Linked DNA regions of Astyanax mexicanus. The protein of the gene in region 3 purifies or fractionates together with the protein of the main gene of each other region. This does not show direct contact. Links are inferred from orthologs where the notes say so. Each region holds a gene or a part of one and is shown on either strand. Other genes may lie near its edges.

What was found.
Region 1: the proteins of smad2 (region 3) and smarcc2 purify together in Homo sapiens (affinity purification with mass spectrometry; 3 studies listed by BioGRID, with this or other methods). This does not show direct contact. The link is inferred for Astyanax mexicanus from reciprocal best matches to the Homo sapiens genes SMAD2 and SMARCC2.
Region 2: the proteins of smad2 (region 3) and tgfbr1b purify together in Homo sapiens (affinity purification with western blotting; 8 studies listed by BioGRID and IntAct, with this or other methods). This does not show direct contact. The link is inferred for Astyanax mexicanus from reciprocal best matches to the Homo sapiens genes SMAD2 and TGFBR1.
Region 4: the proteins of smad2 (region 3) and trim33 purify together in Homo sapiens (affinity purification with western blotting; 7 studies listed by BioGRID and IntAct, with this or other methods). This does not show direct contact. The link is inferred for Astyanax mexicanus from reciprocal best matches to the Homo sapiens genes SMAD2 and TRIM33.

The regions. Positions count from the first base shown.
Region 1 is NC_064412.1:17,017,330-17,025,445, reverse strand, and holds the start of smarcc2 (SWI/SNF complex subunit SMARCC2), read left to right. Parts: upstream 1-4,860; 5' UTR 4,861-4,896; coding exon 4,897-5,007; intron 5,008-6,992; coding exon 6,993-7,112; intron 7,113-7,883; coding exon 7,884-7,969; intron 7,970-8,097; coding exon 8,098-8,116. UniProt on the Homo sapiens protein: Involved in transcriptional activation and repression of select genes by chromatin remodeling (alteration of DNA-nucleosome topology).
Region 2 is NC_064413.1:43,270,731-43,279,192, forward strand, and holds the start of tgfbr1b (TGF-beta receptor type-1b), read left to right. Parts: upstream 1-5,215; 5' UTR 5,216-5,344; coding exon 5,345-5,414; intron 5,415-8,462. UniProt on the Homo sapiens protein: Transmembrane serine/threonine kinase forming with the TGF-beta type II serine/threonine kinase receptor, TGFBR2, the non-promiscuous receptor for the TGF-beta cytokines TGFB1, TGFB2 and TGFB3.
Region 3 is NC_064427.1:23,597,716-23,605,712, reverse strand, and holds the start of smad2 (mothers against decapentaplegic homolog 2), read right to left. Parts: upstream 3,619-7,997; 5' UTR 3,437-3,618; intron 3,141-3,436; 5' UTR 3,031-3,140; intron 1-3,030. Other genes in the region: coiled-coil domain-containing protein 17, read left to right, coding at 4,992-5,120, 7,039-7,164, 7,318-7,423, 7,523-7,688. UniProt on the Homo sapiens protein: Receptor-regulated SMAD (R-SMAD) that is an intracellular signal transducer and transcriptional modulator activated by TGF-beta (transforming growth factor) and activin type 1 receptor kinases.
Region 4 is NC_064419.1:2,136,914-2,145,230, forward strand, and holds the start of trim33 (E3 ubiquitin-protein ligase TRIM33), read left to right. Parts: upstream 1-4,744; 5' UTR 4,745-4,780; coding exon 4,781-5,567; intron 5,568-8,317. Other genes in the region: bcas2 (pre-mRNA-splicing factor SPF27), read left to right, coding at 345-425, 1,072-1,198. UniProt on the Homo sapiens protein: Acts as an E3 ubiquitin-protein ligase. Promotes SMAD4 ubiquitination, nuclear exclusion and degradation via the ubiquitin proteasome pathway. According to PubMed:16751102, does not promote a decrease in the level of endogenous SMAD4.

The DNA.
Region 1 (8,116 bases), on a different chromosome or scaffold from region 3:
AGAATAAAGAGAAGTTTCAAAGCCTGTGTGTCTGTGTCCATTTTGTAGCATTGTGCACCATTGTTTGTTGGATATGAAAGTAAAGCAAGTATCCTAAAGCATGTGTCTCTGATTATTGTGCCTATTTATTTTATTTAAATCAATTAAATAAAACATGTTCAAGCCTCTTTTGAGAAAAAAAAACCCTGCACATGAGAAGGACAAACCCTTGAGAAGAACCAAGACTCAAAAAGGAAACTGAGCCTCCTCTGGCCAACAGCAAAACCATCCCAAATACACAACACAGCAGTCCAGCTAAATCCAGTTATTTTATAATTTTATTTCTAATTTTTATCCCATTTTCTGGGGCTAATTACCCAACCCACTCATTAGGACTCCCCCTATCACTAGTGATGCCCCAACATCAGAAGTGTGAAGACCAGCACATGCCTCCTCCTACACATGTGAATTCAGACTCTGCCTCTTTTCTAACTGCTGCTGATGCAGTATTGCCGAGTAGCATCACAGCGCACTCGGAGGAAAGCACAGCGACTCAGTTCCGATACATCAGCTCACAGACGCCTTGTGTTGATCAACATTACCCTAGGAGTGATGAGGGGAAAGAGCGCCATCTACCCACCCAGAGAGAACAAGACCAATTGTGCTCTCTCAGGACTCCGGTACCTTATGGCAAGCTGAATCCAGTTTTGAGGAACTTGTGGAGCTGACCTCAAGTAAACTCAATGATTGTAAATGGATAAACAACTCATGACACCTCAATTCTTTAATGATTCAGAATTATTTCTTAAATAATATTTATAATATTTTAGATAATTAAATAAATATTTTGTAATAATATTATTACAAAGCAGTTGTCTTCATCAGCTCCATGCCTCACAGTGAATACACTCATTGACAACAACATGGCACATGACCCCAGATTGTAAATAATGTAAAATCTGTCCTTGTGATAGGAGGTGCATTATTGGACTAAGTGAAGCAGGATGGGGGCTTAATATTCTCTTGTAATCATTTCTTTTGTAATCACACTCTTTTTTTTGTCAGTTACTGTATTTTTACAACATTTTTCTTTAAATCACTTTACACCATCCATAACATGTTTTTAAACCAATGCGATATCACTGTACAGCTGAACACTCTTTAGGATCCAGTTCAGATGCATCAGGTAACAGATGCCCACCCTGGTAAACATCACACAGAGTGATGATGAGAAAGAGGGACATCCTACTCAGACTGTGTTCTGTAGGACTTCCAGTTCCAGATGGCTGTGGCTTCAACCAACAATAGGGTTCGAACCAGCAATTGCCCTGTGCCAACACCAATACAGCTGTGCTACAGGTTTTTTATTATTTTTTGTTTGTTTAACGATGGGTTCAATGTTTCTTTTCAGTGACATAAAACCTGCTCTATATGACTTAAAGGTTTAATAAGCAACAAGTAACAGAATATTTTAGGTACTATATCATTCTTGCAAAGTGTGTGTGTGTGTGTGTGTGTGAGTGTGTGTGTGTGTGTGTGAGTGAGTGAAAAAGAGCGACTTTGCCCCCATTAGTAATCTCCCTGCTAAAGGCCAGATAGAAAGGTCCTCACACACATTCTGACAAGCTTACACACATTAAAATAATCAATACAACACACACACACACACACACAAAAATAAACCTATTTGTAATCATATCACACAGGTTCACACACACATTGACCAATACATACAATAAACACAACACAAAAATAAAATACATATACACAATGAAAACGAAGACAATAAAATGGATAACTGTTAGTTTCTCTCTCTCTTTCTCTCTCTGTGTCCACACACATACACACACACACACACACACACACACACACACACACTAATTAGTCACTGAGCCACTGACAGTATTGATCATTATTCACTCTCCATCTCCTAGATTTACACACACACATACACGCACTCACACTTATCCTTGTATCCTTGGTAATGAGGGGGAATGGTTGCAAGTATCTTTTGAGGGTAGATAACGAAAAGGTCAAAGAGCTGCTGTTGGCGAGACAGAAACAAACACACACCCGCACAAAAGAAGACAACTGTGACATAAACAAGCCTCGGAAAGGAGGAGAGGAAACTGCAGACCAGTCTACATCCAGCCATGCCCTCATTATCAATTTACCAAAAAACAGGCAATACTCACAATACATACTGTTAAGTGAAAAATGTGAAAGATAGATATGAAGGAATGCAAAAAAAAATACATCAAAAATACATTACAAATTATGTTGGTATAAAAAGGCAGCTACCTTCCTGTAAGCTATATTAAAGAAATATTAATGATTGCACACTATTCCTACACTATTCGTTATAGCTCATTAGTCTAAACTGTGATGCTTTCGTTTGCTTCCAGTAACCAGGTGGAAATCAGGTAGTGCAACAGTTAGGTAGGTATCTGTTGCAGTAGGTCAGGAGCATGAGGCAATCAAGACAAATGTCTCAAGAATCTTTATTTTTAATATATGATTTCCAAACAACGAGCTCTGTTCCTATAACAGTCCCATAACAAAACATTTATAGCAACTTACTAATAAATCAGATTAACCTATGAGGGACAGACAGACATTTTCTCTATGTTGGGTTAATAATGAGATCAGTCATTAACCCAAAATTTTCTGTCTGTCTGTCTGTCTGTCTGTTAAAAAAAGAGTAAATATTTATTTTTGCATACTTAAAAGCCTTTTAATATTTTAATATTTTCGTTAACCTGTAGTGTTAAGTGTGCATTTATTTATTAGGTGACTTATTTGTTTAAGTTTAGATCTAATAATCCTATATTGGTCAGCATAACGTGGTATAAAAGAAAAAGAACTGGTGAAATGTGCAATGATGCCAGGACTGGAATGCACTCAGAATTCCTGAGTCGGTGGGCTGATCTCACGTTAGATTACCTCTAAATCTCCTGAGACAATTGGTGCTAAGACCCAAAATACAAGTGGCTCTCAGTCCCAGTGTAGAACCTGTGCAGGTCTGGGGATTCCCAGCCAGCCTCCTCATGTGGGGCTCATATGAGTGGATTGTTGGTTTCAGGTGGGCATGGGCTCTGAGTGGGTTTATACATGTGTTTTTATTGGCTCCATCACTACAGCCTACCTTAATCCCCCATGTCATATCTAGGCCACATGTACATTTTAAAACCTGGATGGGGCCCCAATTGAGCCCCTCCTCATCCCATCACTGGCCTATACAGACCACACATGGACATGGCAGAACTATTGAACTCCTTAAACACACACACCTGGTTAAAAAGATATGAGTTGAAAAAGCATTGTTTAAGGAGGAACATCACCAAAGAGGTGACACTGGTCCTCTATAACTGAATGAGTTGAAATTCACTGCTACAGTGTACAGGCCATTAAATCCAGGCCTTGGTGGCTGTTTTTACGAAGCATCAGCTATCTTTTTTTGTTCCAGTACATCTGATCCAGCTGTAAAGGGGCTTGATCATTATTATCTGTTGTGCTAGAATAGGTGTGCTGGAGGCAGGGAATGCAGTGCAGGGGGTCTCCAGAACTGGGTCTAAAAATCACTTAATTCAACTCAACTCAAGGGCAAAAGTGCGTATTGGTTGTCTGACAGTGCCCTCTAATGGTGAGATACTGTAGTAAAGTTGGCTAGAGACCAAAGTTAGAGCCTTCATTCATAGTATCTCAGAGGTCAAGAAGTACAATTGTTACCTTACTTAAGTAGAAATATCTGTTATCTGTACTGCAGTAATTATTTTTCAGCCAACTTTTTACTCCTTACTCCTTATAGAAAGTATCTGTACGTTCTAATTAAAAATATCATTTTTCTTCTGGCTAGTCATTGTAAAAAGCTATGGGAAAAAAAAGTACTGCAATAAAAAACTACTTAAAAGTATAAAAGTAATGTAAAGGGAAAAAATACCATTAAGGACAAAAGCTTAGGCCACGACACAGGGTCCTATACTTCACTACCCTCCCTCCCCAAAACACATTTTCTAAAAGCCGTAATGATTATAATGTTTTATTAACCCTTAAATATCCTGTATCTATCACACATGCACACTAAAGTAAAGCATGGTAGCATCCCAGCTAACGTGGCAGAGAAAACATCTTTTCCAATCTTGTTTTTTTCTGACTAAACATAATTTGTGAAAATATATAGAAATATATAATAAAATGTGTGTAGAATAAAAAAAACTATAAAAGTTTTGTTATATAAAAAAATAAAAACAACAGTGTTAAACAAATGACTCTACTGCAATAAACAGACAAAATACAAATATTATATTTGATCTTTAATTATTAATTAATGTATTATTATTTTTTACTGCATCCTGTTTTTAAGTGCATTACAGGCAGAAAACAGCATTCTTATGTATTTTTTATCACTAAAACATAACTTAGGTCTGAAAGGGTTAAAATGTTAATGTTGGAAATTTTGATTTTGGGATGCACTAAGCTAGTTTTGAAACCAGTACTGTTATACTTTTACTTGAGTTTTTTAAACCCTGGTATCTATACATCTACCTGTGTAATGAATGTGAATACTTTTTTACACGTTCGGTTAAGAATCTGAAAGCACGTGGAACAAACCCCTGCCACGGTTATGAAAATATGACGACACTTACAGCAAGTATTCATTCATTTATTTATTTATTTATTTTAATTTTGGAGTCGATTTGAAGGTAGAGGGGGATGGGACTGAGAGGTCACCGCCGGTCCAGCTCTGCCATGTTGGCTCCAATATAATATGGTTTCCTTCGGCAGCTGGAGGATCTGATGTGAGCCGGAATGGACGCAGTTTCAGCGCGTCTTCAGCGACTCTCGCTGAGCCGGAGAAACGGCGCTGCGTGTCCGCCAGGCGGCGCGCCGCGTCCATGGTTTTGGATGTAGACAAAGATGGCGGTACGGAAGAAAGACGGCGGCCCGAATGTAAAATATTTCGAAGCGTCTGATACCGTCTCACAGTTCGACAATGTCCGAGTCTGGCTGGGCAAAAATTACAAAAAGGTACTGCTCGCTTTTATTCATTTAATACGAAGCTCTGCGCTGGAATTTAGTCAGTGGGAAGTGGGTAGAGTGATGAGGAGAGGCAGAAAGCGGTGCACAGAGGGATAGATAGAGAGAGAGAGAGTAATACAGAGGAGGGAGAGAGAGGGAGAAGGAAAGAGGGAGGGAGGGATGGAGAGAGAGAAATCCAGCTGTTTAAATCCGCTGAGGAGAAACGAAACAATAGAAGAGGAGAGATAACTAAACGCTTTGGGAATCGCTTATAAAACACAGACGTTTAAACTCTTGCTAGCGAACCCCCAGCACTCTCCGGCTGTTTCCATATTTTTCTGATGGTCCATCAGCCATGTTTAATGCGATTTCATGAAGGGGCTGGACAACGTTTTTCTTTATCTGGGGAGGAGAAAGCTAGCTGTGAGCTAACTAACGGTACTGCGGCGGCTGCCCGCTCTCCTCCAGTCCAGATGTGCAGCCGCAGGCTGGCTCCGCTTCGAGCCGCTGGCCGGAGCGGTTTTAGAGGCTCCGGTAAAATCCCGTAACGCTACGTCTCTGATCATTAGTAATAGGAGGTGAAGCCACAGCGTGTTGTGATTTTGCGGCCGATCTGCCCCTCCCCTCCCTTTCACACCGACCCGGTGAAGAGTCTGATACTGTCTGATAGTGAACAGTTTACCCGAGAGGAGAGAAACACCAGCTAAACCAACTGTGAGAGAGAATAACATAAATCAATAAAAACTCCTTAACAGGCCAGGATTATTGTCAATTGTCTGCCTGACATTATACCCCTAAATCTAGAGCATTTCTATTTAAGCTTTACATAAAAAGCTTTCATGTTTGACGAGTAACATTACTAAAAAGCCTTTTTCAAAAGTATTTGTAATTGTAATAGAACTTATAACGTTATAAATCAATAAGTAAATCTGCTAATGTCAAAATATAACAAATAAAATCATAAAATTGTCCTTTTCCTAAACTTTATTTTAAAATAAAAAAAATCTTGAATACAAATCAGTAGAAAGTGAACAGGCAGCATCCAAACCCAGTGTCCTGTAGGAGATTTCAGAGCCCTCAAATTTTCTGAATGTGAATAACTTATTTTACTGCAGAAAAAAGGGTTTTGTATCACCTATACCTGTAGCCTTAAGGGGTTTTAACACTAATTCTGACGTATGTAACCTAACCCTAGCTAAGCTAGGAAACCAGCCTATATAACATAGCTACATTAGCTACATTCCCATATTTCATGTACATAAAAGCTAACCTAGATTCATTATAAAAATGATTGAGTGAAAATGTAAATGCTATACATGTCAATGGCTTTGTTCAGCCAAAATAATAATAGCCATATATCTATTTAGCTAGCTACATCAGTCACAAAGTCTTAAATTAACCCATAAGAGCCCAGACCCATTTCTGAATATTGATAACTTACCATGTTAAAGTTTTTTTTTATTGTGGGCAGATGACTGTAAATATGTTAAGGTTAAAATCCTGATGAGCTTAGATCACGAGAATGTGGAGGACAAACATTTTTTTGTTTAGTATGTGACTCCATATGTGCCCCTTAATAGTTTTCATATCTTTAATATTAATCTACAATGTAGAAAATAAGTTTAATAAATAAATAAAAACAATTGAAATAGAAGGTGTGTCCAAACTATTTATACTGTAAACTACTATACTACTGTAACTATTTATATATTTTAAGCGCAGTACTATTTAGGTACAAGAAGTGCACAAAATATCCAGAAGGACATTATGCCGTAACACTTTATTTGGATAGCTACTCAGCTTTGGATGGTGGTATGTCTATTCATCAGACTCTTACTATTATCTTTAGAAGCAAATTAAGTATTAGGTAAAAAAAAATCTTATGAGCTATAGGACAAACCATTTCCTTAACCTCGCCCCTATTTTTCTCTTTCCTTATATTCTTATAACACTGTGAATTCTAACACCTTGTTTCTGTGTGTGTGCATGTGTAGTATATCCAGGCAGAACCTCCCACCAACAAGTCTTTGTCTAGTCTGGTTGTTCAGCTGCTGCAGTTTCAAGAGGAAGTTTTCGGGCGGCATGTCAGCAACCCTCCTCTCACCAAGCTACCGGTACACAAAAACACACACGTTCATACACACACTCACATACAGTCATAAAAACTACCCATGTTACTATCATAAACATCCCCATTCCCAAAACCTGTCTGCTGCCAAAAAGATGCACTTTAACATTGCTTTCAAACAGAAAAACTGGATTCTAATGTAGTATGTCTAGTAAGACAAGACAAGACAATATAAGCTGCCATATTAACCATACTTGTTTTGGACATACAGATGGAATGTGGCGTCCACCTTTATCCCACAAATATAGTGATAAATATAGTGATAAAAAATATCACAGCAGTGCCAAGAGCAAGTGATGGTTAAAGGCCTTGCTCAAGGACCCAGCTGTGGCAGATTAAAGATGCTCTAACTGGACTTTCTAACTGGTACCTTCATCTTCTTTACTATAACATTTAGTTTGAGTCAATAACATCCATAATATCTATAACCTGCAAACCATTTTAAAAATGAGTATACGTTTACTGCACAATATCAGAAATGAACTAGCAATAATATGTTATTACCTGAACATTTAAAATATATTTGTAAATATATTTGTAATGTAAATGTATTCTAAAATAAGCAACTGATCTCCAACTCACAGACCGTGCATCTGACTAATTTACACATGTGAGACCTAGCACTGTGGTGTTTATTCGTATATGTTTGTTAACAGCTATGCTATTGTTATAGGGAGCATTTTAATTGTATTAATGCTTATTTGCGATATTGCTGTTTAAACAAGGTATCACTTGACATTTCTGTCTGTTTGTTTAGATGAAGAGTTTTCTGGATTTCAAAGCCGGTGGAGCTTTGTGTCACATACTTGCTGCTGCTTACAAGTTTAAGAGTGACCAGGGATGGTGAGATACTTTTTACTTTTTTTTAATTGATTTAATCTATGAAGTGAAATCTGCAGTACCTAACTGCTGTTAATATTAGAAAAAAAAATGAAATGAAGCTGTTTTCTGATTATTTGTTTGTGTTCCAGGAGAAGGTTCGACTTCCAG
Region 2 (8,462 bases), on a different chromosome or scaffold from region 3:
TAAATGTAATGATCTGTTAACTCGTTATTTCATGACAAATTAAGGAGTAAAAAATCTGAAGTTGATTCCCATTGCTAAATTTGCAGCACATTTGGTGGCTGTTCATTCAATGGAACTCAATGGTGTTGATACAAATGAAGGTGTCCATCATTAGGCTAAAAGAAGAAAACATAATGTATGTGCCGCCACAGGAGTGAGACGCTTGCAGTTAAAATTAGGAGTAATTTTAATCAACAGGGCTGATCCAAAAAACATAGTCAAAGTACAAGCACAGGGAAATACCAGAGACAAGCCTAACCAAAACAACAGAGCCAAATACACCGTCCAAAAGGGATAAACAGTAGACAAAAAGGGTCAAAAACCAGAGCAAAAATACCAAGGTAAACTAGCAAAGACAAAACAAGAAAAGACAAAGCCATAAACAGGAAATAAAAAGAAATAGACATTTGCAAAAGGCAGAACAAACAGACCGGTTTACATACAATGTTAAACAGCTGAAAGGAATCAAAACACAGGTGAGGCTGATCTGGCAAGCTGGTGCTGATTGACTAGCTGAGTTGACTAGCTAAATTAACAAATGAGTTTTTATGTACTATGTTAGTTAAAAAGCATTTTAGAAAATGTTCATACATGTTCAGAATGTTCTTAATTACAAGGTTACGAAGGACTTAGCTTTACATGTTTTTGGGTTTTGGGAACCCGACCGGAGTGGCCTTCATTGATTACAATGTTTGCAATCAGAAGGAATGCACTGGGCAAATGGCACAAAAGACTATAGATATTAGTTTGTCCAGTAAAGTTGTAAAAATAGAGCCCACAATAGTTAAAGTAGTTGCGGTAATATTTTCGTTACACTTCAATTATTTTTTGCTCATCCATTCCACCACCTGGGGACAAAACTCCATATTGTCTTCCATATATATATGGAATAAAAAAGGATGTGTGATACTTGAGTCTCAATTGACCGTACAACCGGTGTTTTGTCTATCTTTTACCTATATTGCCTGTTGAAAAAATACTCATCTGTCCTGAGGCCTCACTTGCTTAAATTTTTTTTCTTCCTCACAGTAATAAATCTAAGATAAACTGTGTTGTTGATATTTTTTTGATAATCTCTAATGTCACATCTTATCATTGCATACCATCTCAACAATGTGCCATAATCAGGGCCTGCAGGATCCCAGAGCTCACAACACCTTTTAAAGAGTACTAATTCCTCTCAGCTCTGCACTGTTATTCATGATGTAACACGGCGTATTTGTTTAATTAGCAAGCGAATGCTGTTATCTTTTTGGCCCATGTACTTTGTTGAAGAATGGCACTCCAGGGCAAAATATTCCCTTAAGCTTACACATTTGTGTTTGCCCTACTTATCGCTAACTCCCATTAATGCTTAATAGCCAGGGATTCTTTTTTTAGAATATCACACTCCAAATCTCACAGTATAAATTAATTGCTTGTTTCGGACTTTCGGCGCAAATTTAGGCAAGACGCGGCACAGGCCTTTGCCAGTATGGCTCAAAGTTATGCCTAGGCCCTTTTTTCCAAGATAAGAATTTATACAAAGCAGATTTGTTGTGAATATGGCAGTAAATAATTGGGAATATTTTATCTTGGTGTTGTTTATTGAAGATTTTTACATTTTGGCTCTTCTTGTTATCCTTCTGCTGCCAGTCATTTTTTCAATGCCAGTATTCATTTCCATACAACTGAAACATGATAATGAATATATGATAACTTGATAACTGATGGTTAATATATTTAGCCTCTATTTTCTGCACTGTGCATCTATTTAAGCTGATTTGTGGAGGAAGTGTAAATGAATGCCACACAAGTACTTAGCTCATGTAAACAGTTTGTGCATGCTTGAATGAGGGTTTCATTTAGGTTCATTACTGACTGATAAGTCCAACGTTTGTCTAGACATGCAGCCAGCTGATATGACACTGCAGGGTCTGCACTCAGAGCCCCTCCCCGCCTGCAGTCAGATCCAACTGGGGAAGGCACACCGCAATGGCCGACGTCCAGATGGCAGCCAAGTGATTGGCGATGGGGGTTGTTTTGAACCCAGTTACGATCACCAAAAATAGGGACGGCAGATAAAAGTGCCGACAGTCCACGGCCTGCACCGGCTGATTACAACCAACCAGGCAATGCCGCTCGTGTTTGTGTTGCTTTGCTAAGGGTGCACAGTCCATGGACAGGCAAATATAGGCTTTAGCAATATGTAAAGGACTCTGCTTCCTGCTGATGACCCCAGTGCTCCCCCGGACCCCTGCAGCCCGAGTCGATAGCCTATGTTTTTTAAGCACAAGGGTTTTTAGGTAGCTAGAAGAAGTGGATGGGGCCACTGCTCAGTATCCAAAGCCTGTATCCAAGGCCTAGGAGGCCCAGGCGGACATCAAACAATAGGCAGTCGTCAATCTCTGTCACCGTAGATGGGTGAACGGGAGTTAGAGGTTGCAGGAGGTCAGGCTCTTTGTCCTGTCCTGATGAATATATGCATAAGGCACTGCAGCCATGACTTTAGGAGATGTGCTGGTCGATATATTGTCGAGCAGTATATTCTGTGATACTAATTCCGTTTTAAAAACATTTTTAGCTAAATATATTATTGATAGATAATGAGAATCTATATTTATATAATGTAATGGCTGTAAAATAGCAACATCTATCTGGTTGTCTTTCAATGTGTGTAATTTACGTTAAGTATAATATATTATACTACATTTTTACATGACCATTATGCAACATTATTTTAGCTCTTACTTAAATTTAAACAGTCTGCTTTTGTAACTGTGCCTCTAAAACTGAGAGTTTTGAGTTCTGAGTGTCTGCCCTGTATTGCATCTCATTCAGAAAGCAATGTGGGCTGAACTACCCCCTATAACTTGAGTCTGAATAGGCGGGGCTAAGCTGCCATATGTGAATTAATTAAAGGGAAGACTATACTGTGCAAATGTATTGTTTTTGTGACATCACAAAACAATCAATTCAAAGTTACTTTTACAGCTTAGTTTTTATATATAGACAGCACTGGAACTACATAAAATTACTAAGCAGTAATAAGCCTAAGCAATTATTTTTCTCTGTCATTAAAGTACTGTTTTTATATAGGTCATATTAAACCAAATGTGCTTAATCAATCACATTGTTTTTTCTTTGTAGGTCTATCTTTAAGTCTACCGATAGATATGAATATTTTCAGACATTCTAGGTCACTGAAATGCCTGGCAGTATTGAATAAAGGCTACTAGACTCTATTTTTTTCCTGATTACAGGGAAGAAATATCCAGGTCTCATGATTTACTATTATTGCCCATCTACCATCAGACATAATGTTTCATATTTTCATCTAAAAAGCAGCTGAGCCATCCTCTTCCTTGTCTTGCAGTTTTTACAATCCTCAGTCTGATTTTAACCCTGTCTGTGGCTTCACTGGTTGTATCAAACCCTATTTACTTCAGATCAATGACTGTAAAAAGATATAAGCTATATACAGTCTATGCTTCATATGATCACATTCAATTCTATTTAATTAATCATTTAACTTTTACTCACTGTCAAACATAACTTTAAAAAGTATAAAAGCCTTCGATGCACACTGTGATGACGGTCGATGAGACTTTTTTGAAATGTCTTGACATATATAGTCACTATTTCTGTTTCACTGAGTCTAATAAGACTCTCCTCTCTCCTCACTCTTATGCAACTTATGCAAGAGGTTACCCCTGAGTAAATGATGTGTTGTTGATTTTCTAAGTGAAAATAAGTTATACTATTATTTCACAAAATATACACTATACCTACACTGACATGCCAAAAGTCATGGGATATCAGTATGCAAACTGAGCATGTTACCTTGGGGGCTTGGGAACACTCACACCTGTATAAGTTGTGAGGTGTTATCTTGTAAGTGTATTTGAACACTTGTCACTACTCTTCTGGGACAGTGATGTGACTTATCGAAGTTTGAGTTTCCAGCAGAAGATTTGTTTAATTATTTACACTAAATAAGCAAAGGTGCCATTTTTTTCAGGAGTACCTTAAACCTTTGTTTTAGACTGTAAAGACAGTCGGAGAGTATACAAAATATGTACCTATTTCTTGCAAGTAAATACCTTAATATTTTGAGAGTGTATTAAAATTACATTTTTACTTATCTATTAGCAAATCCTGAAATCAGATTTTTTTTTTTAATTCCAGAATTTGCAAAAAGTGTACTAAAATATTGACCTGTTTCTAATAGGAAAAAATTGTTATTTCAATCATTAAAGTATAGGGTTAATGATGACAGGATTGTGGGTTTGATACCCTGGTTTGACACACTGCCATTGTTGGATGTCTGAGTAAGGCCAATGGCTGCCCACTGCTCCGGGCATGTGTGTGTGTGTGTGTGTTCACTATATGGGTGGGTTAGAGGCAGAGGCCAAATTCCATCTGTGTCCAACACAAATGTGAATATGGTGCTTCTTAAATAAATAAAAAAATAAAATAATTGTTAAAAAAATCTGAATTAGTTTAATAATTTAGATTCTTCTAAGTACCACATTTATCTTTGAGGACAGCTCTGCACACTCTTGGTATTTTAATCTCAGTGTCTTCATGAGGTAGAGGCACCTGGAATAGTTTTCTCAGCGTCTTGAAGGAAGGAGTTCCTGGAGGTGCTGAACAAAAGCTGCTGCTTTTCCTTCAAGCTGTGAAGCTCCAGCTCATCCCAAACCACCTCAAATCACCATCTCAGTTGATCAGGTTTAGATCAGAGGATTGTGGAGGACAAACGCTTTTTATTTACTGTTTACTACATAATTCCATATGTGTCCCTTTTAATAGTTATTTATGTCTTTAATATTAATGAAATATGTAGAAAATAAATGAAATAAAGAAATAGAGAAAAACACTGAATGAGAAGGTGTGTCCAGGCTTTTGATTGGTGCTGAATATCACCAGAGTATTGTGTATACATGACTTCAACACTCCTCCATACCTGTGTGTATCACCTGTTAAAGTGTTAAAGCAGTTGTAGCGGGTGTATAGAGAGTGTAGATCAGGGGGAGTAGGAGGAGAAATGCTGTGAATCTGTCTGTCTTTCTGTCTGTCTGTCGGTCTACTGTGAGTTTTTTTTTTTCCTGGGTCTGGGCGGGGAGTGGCGGCTCCAGCCTATCACAGGCTTCTCTCTCTCTCTCCCCCCTTGCTCTCTCTCTCTACATACACACCGTACACACACACACACACACACGCCTAGCTAGCTAGCTGGAGAGAAGTTGTATGTGTATGTGTGTGTGTGTGTGAGTGTGCGCGTGTGTGTGACAAGCAGGCAGTGTAGAATAAGTCTGATCCGAGGATGGATGCAATACCGCGCTGTCTGCTGTTTCTGGTCCTGCTGTTCGGGACGCGGATCGGCGGGTCTGAAGGTAAGGCGCCGCCGGGCTGTGGTTCGCCCCAACTCCGTTATTTCAGCCTCTGCTCCGTGAAGTTTTGCTGTCTGAGAGTCCGCTGTTTTTCCTCTTTGTTTCAAGGAGCTACGGCCCCAAAGACTCTTTTCAAAGATGGCGCAGGTCAGAGAGAGAGCTGAGCTTTCGGAGGAATGTTTTCTTTCTTTCTTTGTGTTTTCTTTTTGAGAAGAGAGAGAAAAAACCGAGGGGAAGAGATAACTAAACACAGGACAGATAACCTAACGTAGCTCGTTAGCTAAATAAAAAGAGCGAAGGCGACCTGGCTTGTGTTGTTGTGAAGAATCAACAGCGCTTCGCTAACTACAACAATAACAAACACAGTCCTCTAGCAGTCTAGCTTAGTTAACTAACAGCTTACTAGCGTATGTTAGTTAACTATTTAGGTTACGTAGTTCGTTAAGGAGTTTGGTCTGAATTTAATGCTCCCCACGATACTAGCTAACTACAAAAGTTGGCAACTCTTCATAGTAGAGGTTTATAAGTTAACGTTAAATGGATTGATGAACTGGCTCTGAACACAGCAATTACATGCTTTAAGAATAGAATACAAACAAGATAACCTAGCTGTACATATTGGCAACACTTTACAATAAGTGTAGTTAATTAACCTAATTAACTAACTAGCTAACCTTGCTAGTTAACTAGTAAAGTAACCTAATGTGACCTATTGTTGATTACTAAATTGTAATGTTTGACAATGTTGTAGATAGTAGCTAACAATGAATCGAGGCGTTATTTAAACATTCTGTCATGATAAATAATGTCTTTACTAGTGGCAGTTAATTAATAATCTAGTTAACGTTAGCTAAGTACTGTAAATTAATGTGTTAATAAGCTAATTAACGCTAGCTAGCTACAGTTATAACAATGTAGGTTAGTTAGCTAACCTACATCAATTAACAGTACTAACTAGTTAAGTAACCTAATGACTCAAAGTCTCAGTGTCTAATTTATTGTTGTTGGTACTAAATTTTAATGGTTGAGAACGTTGTAGTTAAACATTCTGCCATGACAAATAATGTCTTAATGTCCTAGTTTCAGTTAATAATTATCTAACTAGTTAGCTAACGTTAATAAACGTTAATAATCTAACGTTAATAAGCTACTCAATGGTAGCTAGCTAACGCTAATTAACCTAGTTACATTTATGACAATGTAGTTAGCTAGTAAGATTTCTAAAACAAACATTAGCTAACGTTACATGTGAAAACAAAACGTTGATTAAACCTATAATCTATGTACACTAAATAAACTAGCTAAATAAATCATATCTGACATTGATATAGTCTGATATATCAACGTTGTTTGAACGCTTTGAAAACGTTGATTCAACATAAGCCAGCTTGGTTAACTAAGTTAAATAGGGTTAAGTTTTTGTAAGTTAAGTAACCTAAAGTCTCAATGTCTAATTATTGTTGATTTATTAAATTGTAATGCCTGAGAATGGTGTATATAGCCTACAATGCATTAAGACATTAGTTAAACATTCTATCATGATACATAATGTCTTAACTAGTGTCAATTAAGAATTATCTAGTTAAGCTAGCTAAGTACTGCAAATTAATGTGCACACTTATTGTAGTTAAATTGTTAATGAGTTACCTAGGTTACACCTAGCTACATTTATAACAGGTTAATGTAGTTAGCTAAATAAAACAAGTTAAGCTTTCTAAAACAAACAATAACTAAGCTACATATGAAACCATAACGTTGAATCAATGTTGAACCAACCTAAAATCTATGTACACTCAATAAAATGGACAAATAGTATCTAAATCAACCCTGGCATTTACATCAACATTGTTTCAACGCATTAGAGATTGAAATATGTTGAAAACGTTGATTCAACATAAGCCAGCTAAATAACTAACCTACTTTTGCTCTGCTGGAAGAAATGTTGTGATTCCCAAGCCCCAGTGGTAACGTTAGGTTAGCTAGGTTTAGAGAGAGAGAGAGAAATACACCATTAAACGTGATTAAATGTGCTGACACATTATTACACAGCTGTAAACCTGTGCTGAAATGTTCTTGTATCCATCTAAACGCTTAAACTGAACTTTATTTAACGGTAAATGTGTTTAGATTGTGTTTTGACCACTATCACACATACACACACACACACACACACACTCGGCACAGAGAGCAGCAGCAGCCCGTCTCTCAGTAACAACTAGCTACACAGCCTCACTACTACAGCAGCTAACCTGGGTTGGCTAGCTCGCTGGCTAACGTTAACGTTAAACACACAGATAAACCGATACTGATGGTGTTCAGCCTGAACCGTGAGCTTTTCCAGCCAGCTAGAATAGAGACTGTCGTTGGCTAGACGTCTTGAGTGAGATGTAACATTAGCGTAACGTTTTTTTAGATGATAGCAAATTGATTAAGCCGTCTACTAGCTACGCTAGCTAACTAGCTAGCCAACCTACCGGGCTAGCCACAGTTCTTCTGTTCAGTCAGCCTAACTGCCTCTGTTAATGTTGTGTTTATGTCAAAAATAAGTTTATTTCAGCTACCTGTTATTTGTTTAGCCTTCATTTAGGAGCTTAAGAGTAACTTAAGAGTGCAGAACTGTTTAAGGACTGAAACTGCCCAAATAACGTTACATCCGCTCCCCCCCGTCCGTTTACCTGGATAAGCTGGATAAATAAATAACTTTATTAACTAATCACTTCATCAAACACGAACTGTAGTAAACGAATGTACAGAAATGACAAGTAAATGATAAGTTTCTTTGATTTTACCAAATTGAAAAACTCTGAACTATAATCAAGATGATGATGAATAATCACAAGCAATCAAACAAAGCTGAACTGTTAATTTTTTTTTGCACCGGAGTGGCATAAAGTTATACAAAAGCAGTGTGTACGACTGGTGGAGGAGAACATGCCAGGAATCATAAAAACTGTGATTAAAAACCAGGGTTATTTCACCAAAGCATATTGCTTAAAATACATTTAATGTAAATACAGTAAAAAAGTATATTTGATGTGTATTTTAATTTAG
Region 3 (7,997 bases):
TTCAATAAACAAACAGTATGCTCTACTAAGCATTTGGTGGATATGATAAAACACCAATCAACTGCACATTTCATTAAAATAAAAAATAAAAAATGCATAACTATTTCTTGAGCAACTGGATGAAATTAAGCAAATTTATGAATATAAAAAAATCTCTGTATTTGAATAGCATTTTTTAATCTGCCACTACAGATTGAAAATAAAGTTTTCTATATTGATTGTTTTTTAACATATCCCACACCTGTGTCAAAGGGTGCCTTACTGAATATTCTAAACAGTTCATACTTAGAGAATAGACTCCGACTAAAATGTTTGATTAGTCCTCACACTAGTCCCTAACTAGTTCAAGATCATGTTTAATCGTATTTACCCTCGCAGTTTTATTTAAGATACTGTATTCAAGCTTCTGTCTTAGCTTACCACATTCAAGAGAAATGAAGTGTTCTGTAAATATACTGTATTCCAGTGATTCTAGTGTATTGTATCCATTGTATATACTGCAAGTGCCATATTTCATGCCTACATTATTTTATTTTGTCATACTGCCCACCACCAGCTAAAGTGACTTGCATTTACCTCAGAACAGTGTATTTAAGCATTAGAGCCAGATTTCAGTATTAAATGCCTCTAGAGTTTCAGGACTAAAGTCCATGGAGCTGATGAGTTCTTGGAGAGCCTGATCGCTAATTAATCTCTTTACACAGCTCATTTGGTGAGTAGAGAGTGTGAGAAAGAGTGTGGTTAAATGACTAACCGTTCTGTTATAACTCTTACTGTATGGGTTTGTGGGTATGAACACAACTGTGCCAAATTTAAGCATGATGGAGACTGAAGATATATGAAGATAAAAGCACCACACTAGATAGCAGCTGGATGCTTATGGCAAGATGTAGCAGGAACAAACTCTTTATTATAGACTAGTTAAAGAAATGTTTTGGCTTTTTTCTTTACAGTAGTCTGAAAGTGTCTGAATTACACATTAAATTTATTATTTTTCTGCACTTTCTATCTGTGTGTAGATTTTTGTTAAAAGTTAGCATTCTAACACCACCTGAAGTACTGAAACTGTCGACTGCACTATGTTGACAGAAGCATACTGTTAGTTGCTAGGTTCTCTCTCTTCTGCATAACATCCAGATATGCTCATTTCCTTTGTATCAACAACCAATTGTTAAAGAAAAAAGGGGGAGTTTCTTGATAGAAAGACACAAATACAAGTGCAGAGCTCTCCACTTCAGAAGCACCTTTTTACAGCGATGATGGGTGTTAAGAGTATTTTCTAATCTATGCAACAACAAAAAAAATCGGATATGTTAATACATTTAAACAAGAACTGAATTCAGCCAGACTGTATCCACTGTTCAGATTTCTGCTTTTAAAATGCATGCAAATGTTTATCCACATATTAAGCTAACTAGATAGTGCCTCATTTTTTAAACATAAAATTAATAAACGAAAACGTGACACAAGAAAAGAAATAGTATTTAACTGGGGCAGTTCAATTGTTTATAATTAGGGATTTAGGGGCAGATTTTGGTTAGTGCATCCCTGTTTATTTAATTTACAATATTTGCTGTGGTGTCTTGTCATAAAGGTCAGTGTAACTTTTATCAGTTAAATTTTGAGAGTTTGAGGCCAAATTTGATAAATATTGGATATAAAAATGTATATACTTTTAATTGTTTATTATTATTTCTGCATTTCACAAACAGAATTTTAGGAAAAATGAAATCTTCTCAATATTCTGATTTCAATTTTTGCATCAAAAACATCATGGTATAATAAAACTTACTTTTGTTACAACTGTGTTCTGACAGTTGCAGAAACGATATAAAACACATTATTCTAAAAAAAAAGTAATGCAGTGGTGCTTCAAAATGTTCTATTTCAGCCTCAGTCAGAAAATATTAACTGAGGCCCTACAAGTAAACAGGGTAAAAAAATAAACAGGGATGCAGTGAACGAATAACATTTTTTATGAAACAAGAAAAAATTATATATATTTCTGCACTAAGTAAATAGACTAGATATGTGATTGATCCATATTAATTATTCGATCTTGAAGTTGGTAAGTCATTATACAGTTCTGGAAAAAGTAAGAAACCACTTCAGTTTCTGAATCAGTTTCTCTGATTTACCTATTTATACGTATATATGTTTGAGTAAAATAATCATTGTTTTATTCTATAAACTACAGACAACATTTCTCCCATATTCTAAATAAAAATAAGATGCAGTGCTTTCAGACTTCAAATAATGTTCAAACAAGTTCAAATTATAAAGTTCTAAAAGTATAGAAGTTAATACTTGGTGGAATTAGCCTGTTTTTTTTTCATCACAGTTTCATGTATCTCCGCTCCTCAACCTTACACACTGCTTTTGGATAACTTTATGCCACTCCTGGTGCAACAATTCAAGCAGTTCAGCTTGGTTTGATGGCTTGTGATCATCCATCTTCCTTTTGATCATTTTTAATTTGGTAAAATCAAAGAAACTCATACTTTTTAAGTGGTCTCATTCTTTTCCAGAGCTGTATATCTAAGATATGTTGAGTGCCTCGTTAGTAGAAATCTTGTTTGTTTTTGTTTTTTTTTTGCAGTAGTGTATTCCTGAAATATTTTTTTTTTTATTTCAGTGTTTTGGTATATCCCAATGAGTATCATGATGATATATGAGCCATATCACCCACCCCTACTATCATAACTAGTGTCAGTTATTAATTAGTAGTTAGTTTAGGCAAATACTTAAATGTGTATTAGTGTGTTTAGTAAATGCATAAGCATTATTAAATTAAATGTTAAATTAAATGTTTTTTTATTGAAATCAAGATTTAAACTACACCGATAAACCGGTCCACACGTTGCCAGCAGTCTATGAAAAAACACGTAGCTTAGGTTAGCTAACCTAACTTACTTAGCTAACGTTACCCATCCACAGAAAAACAGGCCAGGGCCTACAGAAGCTGCTCTTTACAAAGAGGAGATATTAATAAATGGTTTTTAAAGGCTTCTGTGTGCGTCCAGCACTTACCTCGGGCAGCAGGACTGATGGAAAATGTGGAGAGGAGATGTTGTTTTATGGCTGCATGAAAAGCCCCGTCCGAGCGAGCGAGTCCCGGGGCGAGAGGCTGAGGCTAGCGGCTACAAACGAGAACAAACCCAGAGTGTGAATGCAGATGGAGCCGGCCACGGTTACACAAAAACACAGCACTGTTCAAGCATCTTTTAGCAGTATCTGTAACCGCGGAGAGGTGATGGTGCTGGAGAGGTGGCGGTTTTAGTGATTAAGGAGGTGTGTGTATGTGTGTTCAGCTCAAAAAACCGCTAAGTTAAGCTCGGAGGCTTCGCCACTTTGTTTGACAGAAAAATAAACAGGTTAGAGACGTGTTCGCGGAGCAGCTCCTATTTTCACCTATTTTTACAGCAATAAAACTCACCTTCAGGATGAGCCGCCGGCTTTATGCACACCCCAAAAATGTGTACGGACCCTCCACACCAAAACCTGGCGTTTATCTCCGTCCTCCAGGCTCTAAAAATCGATTTAAACTGTATTTTTCTTTCTCTCTGTAGCCAAATTACAGCAGCAGACGACGGTGGCCTCTCTCATATGGACAACCGAACCTTAACGCACTCAACGCGATACAGGCCCGCCCTCAGTCCCGCCTCTAGTCCCGCCTTCGTGCTGCTATTGGTCAAAATCTCAGCCAACGCGCTTCTACTTAGAATACATTGGTCAGCATCTGCCGTCAGTATATCCAAATATTAATTATGCAAAGCGGCCCGCGTACCCCATTGGTCGTCCAGACTCGCCATTCCCTCGTTGACGTTTGGATTCCAGGCCGCAGGCTGTGGTTTGTCGACGCGGCCGTCCGTCTGTCCATCTGTTTGCTTCGTAACCGAAGCACAGAGAGAGAGAGATGCGCTGAGAGCCGAATCGCAAAGTGGGTTAGATACGGCTGCACAGCCCCATCAAAGCAAACAAGCAGCGTATCCCTCCGCCATTCAACAAAGGAGAAACAAATAGGGCCTCAAAATAGCTTTTCTTCTATGGAGATTATAATTAAATATTTGTTGTGTAGAATTTATACAACTTATTTCACTTTTGATAAACTTTATACAAATATTTACTAGCATCGTTAAAAAAATCTGAATTTTAAGATATTTTTTGTGTGTTTTAAAATTTTACACTTTACAACTACGGTCACAAACAATACCAACACTTACGACATTAAACATTAAATATTGTTAAATGGTTAATAATGACAAAATGTCTCAGCTAATTATTCATTGGAACTAGTTAAAACATTATTAAACTTTAATATTTTTAAATATTTTTAATTGATTATTATATTTTAACGTTTTCCATAAATAATTAGATGAGATATTCGGTCATATGTACTGTTTATTAATGAGTTACTACTTTAAAGCGTTACTAATTTATTAAAATCAAAATTGATTCACACGTTGACTAAAAAAAGTGACATATCTAAGCATTTAAATCCTTTTGTTGGACTTCAAATATTTAATTTATAGTTTAAAAAATCTGAAACCATATAACATTTATAACATTGTTTTTTGTGTGTTTTAAAATTGTGAGATGGTAAAATTTGCTGTTGAAAAAAAAGTACATTTAAAATATGTAAATATATATATTTATAAAATTATTAAATTAAGATAATATTAATAAGATATTACAATGGTAAAATAAAAAGTGAATAAAATAATAAGCCAAAGTATCAAAAAGGTTAAAAAGTTTTTTTTTATTTATATAAGAAGATTGTTATTTCACAGTGAAAGAGTTTAAATGGGCTGGAACTGTAATAACTCATTCCCAGCGTGTCCAGCAGACGGCGCTGCTGTAAGTTTGGTTTGGTGTGTGTTATGTATTATTGGTTGTCAAGAGCAGCTCAACACAGAGCCTGGCTGAACTGCACAGACATTTACCTACCTGGCTAATCCGGTTTTATTTAATAAGAGTTTTTTTTTTCAGCAATGGATTCATTAATTTGTTCTAGATGTAATATGACGTTCAGATCATCAAATTTTCTGGCAAAGCATCGGGAGAAGTTCTGTATTGGAAGTGTTGGTCAGAATGAAGAGTCTGATTTCCATCAAAACCTGGTAAAATTTCATGTTTCATGTTATATGTTTAAATGTGTATGCTATCCATATCTACTGTGGAACCAGATCTTTATTGTGTCTCACTGTGAAGCTAAAGTCTGATTGCATGGACAATGTTTGCCAGATGCTGCCAGTCCCATAACTTTTGGCATGTCAATACAGGATGACACACATTTTTACTGATGTCTGTATTAATTTATATTTTATATATTATAAGGGTTCTTTAGTAAAGGCACCAGAACCACTTATACAGAAAGAAATATGTAGAAGGGCAATTCCACCGAATAGGTGCAATTTGCTTGTTGTAACGCTTCCAAATTAAGCTTTTTATTTTTTTTTTCAACTCTGAATCTAATAACATATTTAACTATTTAAAACATGTACTGGTCAAACTCAGGCAGCTTTACTTATGTTTTTTGATTAAAGTGTTAAGGTTTCAAATCCGAAGATGGTTACAAAATTCATGTTACATTTAAAAAAACACTAGTCCACTAATTCCTTTGATTTTCTCCCAAGAAAGTCTTTTTTTTAAAGAAAGTCTTTTCATTTAAAAAAAAATGGTTGACTGCATGTTCAAATAATTATTATTTATGACAAAAAAACTCATTCCTGTTATTTTTATGTTTTTTGAGTACAACTGTGAAAGTCATAAAAGTAAACAAGAATGGTCTATGGTTTTTAGCATGGAATTAGCAAAAACATAAGACATAGCTAAGTTGCGGCTATGCTAATAGCATGAGGACACTAAGCACATTCTAGTGATTTTCCCAAAAGGAACTAATTCAGGTAACAGGAAGTGTTAAGATTGAGCTCCTCAGTCATAGTTACAATAAGATCAAATAAACAGAAAAACAAAAGAGGGAACTTACAGTAATTTTGGTCTGGATTTTGGTATGATTTTCAGAAGAACCAGCTGATGTCACTTCCTGTTGTAGAAGTGACTTGTAGAATGTTTTCAGATGTTTTAGATGGGGTAATGTGTTACGGTAACAGGACTGAGTGAAACCCAGTGACACAACTAAAATGTGTATTTTAACATAAACATTTTTATGGACGCCCATTTCCGCCACCTAAAATAAAATAAAAAATCCAGCACATTTTTTTCTTATTATTAAGTTAACTGCCATCTTATTTTTTGAGATAGTAAGTCATTTTTTGAGATACTATCTCATTATTTTTAAAAACTATTTCATTATTTTGAGATAATATCTCATTATTATGAGATAGTAAGTCATTATTTTGAGATAGTAAGTCATTATGTTGAGATACTGTCTCATTATTTTGAGATGCTAAGTCATTATTTTGGGATACAAAGTCATTATTTTGAGATAGTAAGTCATAATTATTTTAAAATATTTTTTCTGAAAGCAAACACACTTGCTATCTCAAAATCACTTAATATCTCAGACTAATGAGGTAGTATCTCAAAATAATGAAAAGTATCTTAAAATAATGACTTACTAGTTGGTCAAAATGGGCTTCCATAAACTTTTGACTTATTATGAACAAAACATTATTAAAATTATTAAAAAACAAAAAAAAATTTTAAACATAGATGGGATTTGAAGTCAAACAGCAATGCAAAAAAGAAATACATCTCTGAAGGATTTTAATAATTATATTTCATGGTAAAATGTATAGTTAGAGACTGGAGACAGGTAACAAATGCTATTTTTTTCAGTGTTTAAAGTCGTTTTTATTAATGTTTTTAATTACATATTTTACTTTTGCAATTACACCATTGTACAAGACACTATGCTTAATAATAAAATGTATTTTAAAGTTATTTCTGCACATTTATACATGTATTTCCTGAGGACAGAAAAGGCACCCATTTGGTGGAATTGCTCAAAAATACATAGTGTCCTATATGATATGAGGATATCTGAAGTACTTGTATTGTTTCATACTTCCACAGAATGAGAGGATAAGAGAATTGAGGAGGATACGGCAGCAGGACAGGCCTAATGCAAGAGCCCAACTCAGCCAGCAGAACATTCACACACCAGCTCAGAACCACATGCAAAAACCCAGCAGTGAACCAGTAAGAAACACATATAAACAGCCCCACAAATGTTTTATGACCTCTGCTTTTATTGGTTTTGCCTGAATTGCAGTAATTTTAGTTCATTTAGATAGAGATGAGAGTGTATGTGTGTGTGTGTGTGTGTGTGTGTGTGTGTGTGTGCATGGACAGACAGCAGGCAGGTCAGAAGATCAGCTCCTTCAGATCCAGCCAAAGATGGACAAGCAGAAGATGGTGAGATCTGCTGACAGCAAACATCTAAACCAGCACAGAGAAGGTAATCATGAGCTGACCCTTTTTGCACAATTACTCATGCATTAAATTAGTTTTTTTTATTCATAAATTAGCCATCTGAAGACCCACTGGTTGGTTGCAGAGATGGACCTGCAGGAACTGCCTGCTCAGAACAGGAAAGTGGCTCTGCTGGAGGAAATGCTGTTCGAGCTACAGGAGCAGGAGAAGAGGAACACCAGTCTACTGGAGTCCCTCATGAATCATCTGCAGCATGTTCCACGGGAGCCTAGGTCTTTTACCTCTAAAGAGTAATTTCTTTTAAATTATTTTCCAATTAAAAAATTAAAGGTATTCTTTTTTTTTGAAGAGTGCATAGATACCACTATGAGCGGGAGGTGGCAAGTTCGAACCCCTGCTCATGCAGCTTTGCCATCAAGCTGCCGGAGCTTAGAGGGAGCACAATGTTCCCTCTGGGTGGGTAGATGGCGCTCTCTTCCCACATCACTCCTAGGGTGATGTCTGCAGCACAGGGCATCTGTGAGCTGATGCACCGGAGTCACTGCGCTTCCCTCCAAGCGCGCTGGCTGCTCAGCAATGCTGCATCAGCAGCAGCTCGA
Region 4 (8,317 bases), on a different chromosome or scaffold from region 3:
CGAATAAAGTTTTAAAAACCGAATTCTGTGGGATATAAAAATTTGACAATATAAGCAGAGGTTACACTAGCTGCTGCATTTAAATAATGGAGGTAGAATTACAGCATATTAGAAAAAAACGTGATTGAGAGTTGTCTGTTTTGCCATTGAAACCTATGGGGATGGGTGGAGTTACACAGCTTTCTGCAGCCGAACAGCAGGGGGCGCCCGACCTGTGGTGGCTTCACTTTTAAGAGACGATGCTCTGTCCAGCTGTATACAGTCTATGGTTTGGATGTAATGTAGTTTGGAAATATTTAAACATCGATTGTTTAACACCTTGGTTTTGACTTTTGTGATTTCAGAAAGCAGATTCAGGATCTGAACTGGCAGAGAAAGAACGATCAGCTCACTGGAGGAGCCAAACTGCGAGAGCTTGAGTCAAAGTATTTTTTTTTATGTATTATGATCCAATAAAAAATATTTTTTCTGTATTTTTCGCACTATAAAGCACACTTAAAATCCTATACTTTGCCACAAAATCGTCAGTGCACCTTGTAATCAGGTGTGCCTTATGTATGAATCTTACCAGTCAGGTATTAAGGAGTTTCAGTAAAGTTTCTCCAGCATCAACACTGGAGCAGTATTAGCATTAGCTGCTACCTATAGTGCTAGCTCTTTCGGCGTTCATATCGTACTGTATATATCGAACTGTAGCCTGAATGTTTTTCATGTTAAAACAAGCTACATGGAACGAACCACTAGCTGATATCACCCTGACTTACTGGAACACTCAGGGTTCCTCTGTGTAGCACAGTCAGGCTGCATTTTCTGGCGCTAGGTGCTGCTAATTTTATAATATTGGAAATCTAAGCTTACTAAAAGGAAACTGATGTGCTTTGTTATTAGAAGGGAAACATGGCGACAACCTTGTTTTTTACTATTGTTATTTAAAATGTGCCTTATAGTTAAGTGTATAAAAATAGACATTTTTTGATAGTGTACCTTATAGTCCACAAAATACGATATATTAAACAACGATCTTATTAAAGTACACTATGACCGTGACTGATGCATCTTTACCTCTGACAGCTGGGTGTCCCTTGTGAGTAAAAACTACGAGATCGAGCGCGCCATCGTGCAGCTGGAGAATGACGTCACCCAGCTGAGGCAGCAGCAGGGGGAGGAGAATAAAGAGAACATCAGACAGGACTTCTAACCAGAGGCATCTTCCCAGACAAACCTGGAATAACCAGCGGACTCGGATAAAGTGTGCGGAAAAGACATTTCAGAGAATAGCGGTGGAGTGTCCCAGAGAGGAAATGGCATCAGAAATGTTACCTGTTTTTGAAAGCCTGGTACCAAACAGCTCAGCAAAGCTCTGTTGGTAGTTTGTATGTATTTTTTTATAATTTTTAAGCTGTACAAATGTAATAAAAGCTTTCTTTGGCGAATCATGCATTTCTTCTTTAACCTGTGTGGGACCCATATGAGATTAAAGGCACTAGGGCACTAAACTACCTGATTTTTGCTAACTCTAGCCTCAGCACAAATTTAAAAAGGCTAGAAAAATGAGAGGGGTAGTTTGGAAGGGGCACACTGGGTGATGTATGGGTTTAGAGGCAGGGCAGGAGGGAGAGCTGATTGGCTGAGATGCAGAAGCAGCAGTGTGCCTCTGATAGCGGTAATGAGATGCAGATGGTTGGATGTCATGAGCAGAGGGGGCAGGATTATTAATTGACTAATCTGCTTATTGTGATGTATCTGTGTACCAAAGTACATGTAAACATCATCCTCACCTATAGCACAGTTGAACCTGAGAGGGAGCTGCAGAGGCAAAAAAAATAAATAAATAAAAGTGTTTTTTAAAGGTTAGGAAATGTTTATTACAAATTTAAGCAGGGCTGCTATGTTTCATTACTTTAAAGGAACACATTTTAGCTATTAATGGAAAATATATGGTTTAAGGTTGTTTAGCCTGGCTGTTTAAGGTGGTCTGTAATGATGGGGCTCATTTAAAAAGCCCAACTAGATCCCTACATGTTGCATACACACTGACTCTATCTCGCCAGCCAAATTCATGAGCATAACTTTTTATTCTAAGCTCACTTCTCAAAGAAACTGCAAGAAAACTGTCTATAATGAAAAACTAGGCCACCTTTTGGGCCTCATTTGTCACTTCAATCAAGCAACCAGAGAGCGCTAATGAATCTATAATGGTATTTCATTATTCAGAGTCTCATTCCAGTTCATAAAAATTAAACTCTTTAATGCTTTTTTTAGTCCATTTATCATTTATTCCAACCTTCATGCTAGCCCCAAAGCTACGGGACTTTCCTCAAGTCTAAGACTTTAAAATCAAATACAGAAAATACAGTCCAGTCAGAATATTATGACCACTTACTTGTTTCTACAGGCTTTCTTCATCTTATCAGCTCTACTAATCAAATAGCAGCATTAAGTATTTTTTTATACAAAAGCTCTATGCAAAAATAATTAAACAATCAATTCCCAAAAGCATCAGTTTAATTAAGTCATCAGTTTCATGGGAACACATTGGAAAATCAGAGGGAACAATTTATTAATCTCATTAACAATGATTTAGTATATTGAAAGAATTATTTATTTAACTGAGAGAGCAATTTATTAAATTGTGGCATGATTAATGTTAGGAGCTCCATAACATAAACTACTCTTATTGCTGTAGCTTGTTGTGCTTACCCAGTCGCATATATAAAATCAAACCCTAGTCCTAGTACCATGGAGAAGGTGGTGTTATCCACTGTGCTACACCACGTAGTGGAGAGGGACTTGCCTTTTGTGCTGTTTCTTCTTAAATATAGCTCTGATAAAACACTAATAGAAGAGTCTTGTCTGATTAAATACATTATTTACAAAACCCAGATAGCAAAAGGAAATTAAATCAACATTATATTTTTCATTTTCAGCAATGAAACACTATTGGTCTCCTACTTCAGAACTGACCTATTTGTACACGTTGAATTTATTTTTTACATTTTTTATCAGTTTTAATAAAATAGTTTAATTTTAGGGCTCCAGTGTTGTTTTTTTTTACAGCAGCTAAAATGTTAGTAAACTGAAAGAAGTATGTGGGTTTTAAAGCCTAGTTTCAGAAGTGTTTACAGTTGTAGTCACTTGTGCTGTAAGATGATAAGATAATATCTGGAATATCCAGGTAACATTGCGAGGCTGGAATATGTTTAACCCCTACAGAATTAAATGCAGCCGAGATCATCATTCCTTCATGTTCCCTAGAAAATGAAACAGCGCCCTAAGTAGGGAATAAGGGATTGGTTTGAGACACACCCACCCCTGGCACCATCCCCCAGCTCTATATTACACAGATTATCTAACGAACTTTTCCTGACCTGATAAAGTACTTACAGCCCCTTATCTTTCCGTCTTCATGTGTTGAACTGAAACTCTTAAAGGGAAACCACGTGAAGACACGAAACTCGAGGAAAACACATGGTACTTTACCTAAGATTCATAAAGTACCCGTCAAAAGTTTGGACACACCTCTTCCCCTATTTAATGTGATTTTACCTTGGAAATTTTATAATGTAGTGATTAAAGCTAAAGAGGAACATGTGCTGTATTATGATATAAATAAAAAACAGAATCTGTTTTATACTTTAGATTTAGCTCATTTCCACCACTTGGAAATAAATAAAGGTCCTCCACTAGGTCATAATTAAGAAATACTAAGTCAGAATTTTTAGATAATACTGCCAGATTCTGTATCTCATAATTATGACTTAGTGACTCGTAATTATGACTTACTACCTCATAATTATAACTTACTATCTCATAATTATGTCTTGTAATAATTACTTACTACCTTATAACTGTGATTTACTATCTCATAATGATGACTTACTACCTCATTATGACTTCGTGTCTCATAATAATGACTCACTACCTCATAATTATGACTTAGTGTCTGGTAATAATGACTCACTTCCTAATAACTATAACTTAATAATTAACCCATATATATATATATATATATATATATATATATATATATATATATATATATATATATATATATATATATATATATATATATATATATAAGAAATCGATAAGTTTAGATGTTTTTCACGAACTTTTCGCAGAGCTGGTTTATGGAGAGACTGCCCACTCCCATCTCCGCCGGAATATCAGTGAAATACAACAGACCGCTAGAGGGAGCCCGCGAGTGAGTCCTCAATGAGTGGGGGTGAATGGAGCTAAACGGCTAAAATAGAACAATAAAGATAGCAAATAACCATGTGTTTAGGATATTACTTTAATTTTAGAACCTAGAATATATACAAAAAAATATATATATATATATATGTTGGTGCTCTTGAGAAAAAATGGGAAGGGTAGTTTGGGAGGGGCACTGGGTGATGTATGGGTTTAGAGTTTAGGGTTTAGTGGCTCTTTAAGAAATGGATTTCACTCAATCCAAATACTTTCAAGAACTTTAAAGTATGTGATGAAACTGGCCCTCTTCAGGACCACCCCAGTATGGGAAGACCAAGAGTTAGAAGAGTTAGTTTTCAGCTTCAGAAACCAGAATTTAGGTTTATTAAGATTATTATATGTTTTATTATATGTTATGTTATAGTCTGGGTGACTCTAGTATAATACTGTATTATGTATGTATACTGTATTCTGAAGATACTGGCTAAACGCGCTGACGCACGGACGCCCGCCTCTCACTGCTGCGTGATGACGTCGCACGCAGCTCCGTCGTGTTGGACGTCAGGCGGTTCAAAGAGGAGGGAAGATGGCGGACAACAAAGGCCAAGCGGAGACGGAGAGCTCGGCTAGTATGGAGGTAGAACCCGCCGCCCCGGTGAACGGAGACACTAAGGAGGTGATTTCAGAGCCGGCTGGTGTTACAGAAGCGGCCGGTACGGGTGGGAGCGACGGACAGTGCGGGGAAAACGGTCCGCGGGAGTCGACACCTCCACCACCGCCCGCCGCCGCCGCTGCTGCTGCTGCTGCTACCACCTCTGTTGGCGGGGAGAACAGCAGCGACATCGCGGGAGAAGGAGGCGGAGGAGGTGGAGAGGGTGGCGGAGGTGGTGGAGAGGGTGGCGGAGGAGGTGGAGAGGGTGGCGGCGGCGGTGAAGGTGGAGGAGAAGTGAGCGCTAGTCGCAGCACCCCGGACGGCAACAGCGGCGAGACTGAGGCCGAGACCGGGACCGGGACTGATAATGGGAACGGGAGTACGGAGACTGAGACTGAGACCGAGACTGCGACTGCCGAGAACACCACCACCGCCGCTGCCGCTGAGTCGTCCGGGGCTGCGGGTGACAGCGCAACACCAGCCCCGGCCGAAGCCGGCGGGTCTCCCCCGGCTCCCTCAGCCGAGCTGCCGCCCCCCGCGCCCGCCGCCCCGATCAACCTGCTGGATACGTGCGCGGTGTGCAAACAGTGCCTCCAGAACCGCGACTGTGAGCCCAAACTCCTGCCCTGCCTGCACTCATTCTGCCTCAAATGCATCCCTCAGCCCGAGCGCCAGATCAGCGTGGGAGTCCCCGGCCCTCACGGCCAGGATACGCACATCGGTAGGTGGATCTCCCGCTTTAGAAAGAAAGATCGAGAAGCGACCGGCTGGCTGGTGCTTCCAGCCTCCCGACCACGAGCACCACTGCAGCTCCTTCTAGCCTTAGTTAACGCTGGTTAGTTATCACCTAAGCTAGCTTAGCTAACGAGTTGTCAAACCGTGCTAACATTGTGTAGCTCTAATTAAAGCTGATTATTGTGGTAGTCGACTAATCTGATTATTTTATAAGTCGATTAGTCGATGATTATTTATATTTTCTATGATATCTATATTCTCAACCGCTGTGATTTAAAAACTCTTAAACCGCCCACAAGATGTTCAATTAATGTGGAAAGTTATGATAATCAGTTGTGTTTTAATGTCTTAAGTTAACTTGTTTGTTTTTGAGCATATTTGGGGACACAGACCAAGCTAAACTGAATGTAAACATTCATCAATTATGTCGACTAATCGTTGCAGTGGTCTAAGTTACTTGTTGCAACCTAGTAAAAATAAACAAATCCCCTCACCACCATATTATAGGGCTGTAATGATTCCAAATTTCACCAAACTAAATAGTGGGCAGAGAAAAACACAATGGTAGAGAGGAGTAATGGGTTCATTTACAAAGTTTACACTCAACTTGGCCTCTGTCTCCAAATGTGCCCAAACACATATACATATATACATATTTACATATTTACATTACATATTTACTCACTAACTATCAGAACTATTCACTTTTAAACATCCTCTGGGCATTTAAAGGGAATAATCGTTAACTGGTCGACTAATCGAAACAGTAATTATTAGAATAGTCAACTATCAAAATAATCATTAATTGAGACTCTGGCCTCAGCCATCACGCACCACTGCAGGTCCTGTAGAGTTGTTTTTAAGGGTAACCTATGGCTACTAGGATTAGTCAATATGTAGAAAGACAAATTTGTCAACTAATTTGTTAATTCGTAACACAGCACTACACTAAATGCTTTGGAGTGATAAAAACAGTGGAAGAGAGGGATAATGGGCTCACTCACAACCTTCACACTCAACTTGGACCCAAACACAACAGATTACATATTTACTCACCATACTATAAGAACCGTGCACTTCTAAACATTATCAACTTATCGTCTAATTGAAACCGTAATCAGATTAGTCAACTATCAAAATAATCATTAGTTGCAGCTTTAATTGAGAATCGACCGGCTGGCGCTTCCAGCCACAATCCAGCCTGAATCATCACACACCACTGCAGCTCCTGTTGAATAGTTTTTCTGACACACTAGGAAATCAGGGTTTATCTTTAAAGCTAAACTAGGGCTGACACAATTAGTCGATATATAGATAGACAAATTTGTCAACTAATCGTTGATTTGTAACGGCACCATACTCCACAAAGAGCTAGGAATGGTGTAGGAATAGTCTCCTAAAGTGCCCAAACACAACAGATTACACTTTTAAACATCATCTGGGCATTAAAAGCGCATTTAAAACCTATGCTCAGCTAGTTCTTTCATTTTGAAGGGATGGGGGCATGACAGAAACTACCAAAATAATCATTAGTTGCAGGCCTGATTAGAACATGCTCCCAGACGCCCTGCAGACGTCTAAGTAGATAAATTAAATAAATGAAATTTCTGTATCAGGATAAAAGTAAGGTAATTAAAGATTAAATTAATGTTTTTCGTAGATTTAAATGTTCTATTTGCATTTTAAAGCCAGAATTATCATGAAAAGCACATGATAACCTAAAAAACTAAATGTGGCACACCAAATGCACAGTGCTGGTTAGCAACAATGATCCATGGGTAGAATTACTGAACAGATCATTGAGATTGAATCTCTTTAGAGCACATTTGGCTGGCTGAGGCCTTCATTAGATTTGTTTTATTGGTCAGATTGGTAAATTTAAGACATGGCTACTATTAGGTAAACTCCACACACCATTTATTAGTATTCTACAACCAAAAACAGCTAAAATGTTACAATGTTTTGATAGAAATTCTTGTTCTAAATTCATCAATCAGTACTTACACTAATTTAATTCTCCTCTTTATTATTGTGGGCTTTTTTAATATGGCTAGTTTGTTTCTAAGCTGCTTTCTCTTTCTCTCTCTCTCTCACTTCTCTTTCTCTGGATGAACAGAGGATCCAAACCCAGGGCCTCCAGTACAGCGAACCCATACAGCTTTATCTCGAATGGGAGCTTAGCTAAGGGAACTGGGGCTTATAGGATTGGGGCGATATCCCAACTAGCTAGTACTCTAGTATTAGCTGACATACTGTTGGATATACTGCTATTTGGAGCACAGCTATTTTGTGATCTGTATTCAATGGATTATTTAACCAATAAATCACAGACCACTGTATAATGAGCATTTATTATTTCATTGGTTATTGTCCTTTATATCACAGACGGCTTTTTTTCTTAGAAACATGGTCATGGTTTATTTATCCAATACATCACACATATGTGTTAGAAGTGGGCAATATGATGGTACATTTTTTAAATTGGCACTATACTTTTTTTTTTAGGCATGTCATTAGTGGTTATCGAATGCAGATTTATGTTTCATTTGATAAGTTGTAGTATATTATGTATAAAACTCAGTCTGCTGAGGATGGAAGCGTTTTTTTAAAGGATCTCTCACTACTGATTCATTGAAAATGCGATCATATCACAACAAATACTGTGTGCAAATCTTAAAAATGTATTTAAATAATGTGGTATAAAATTTTTACCATATGATTCAACCCTAGTCTGTG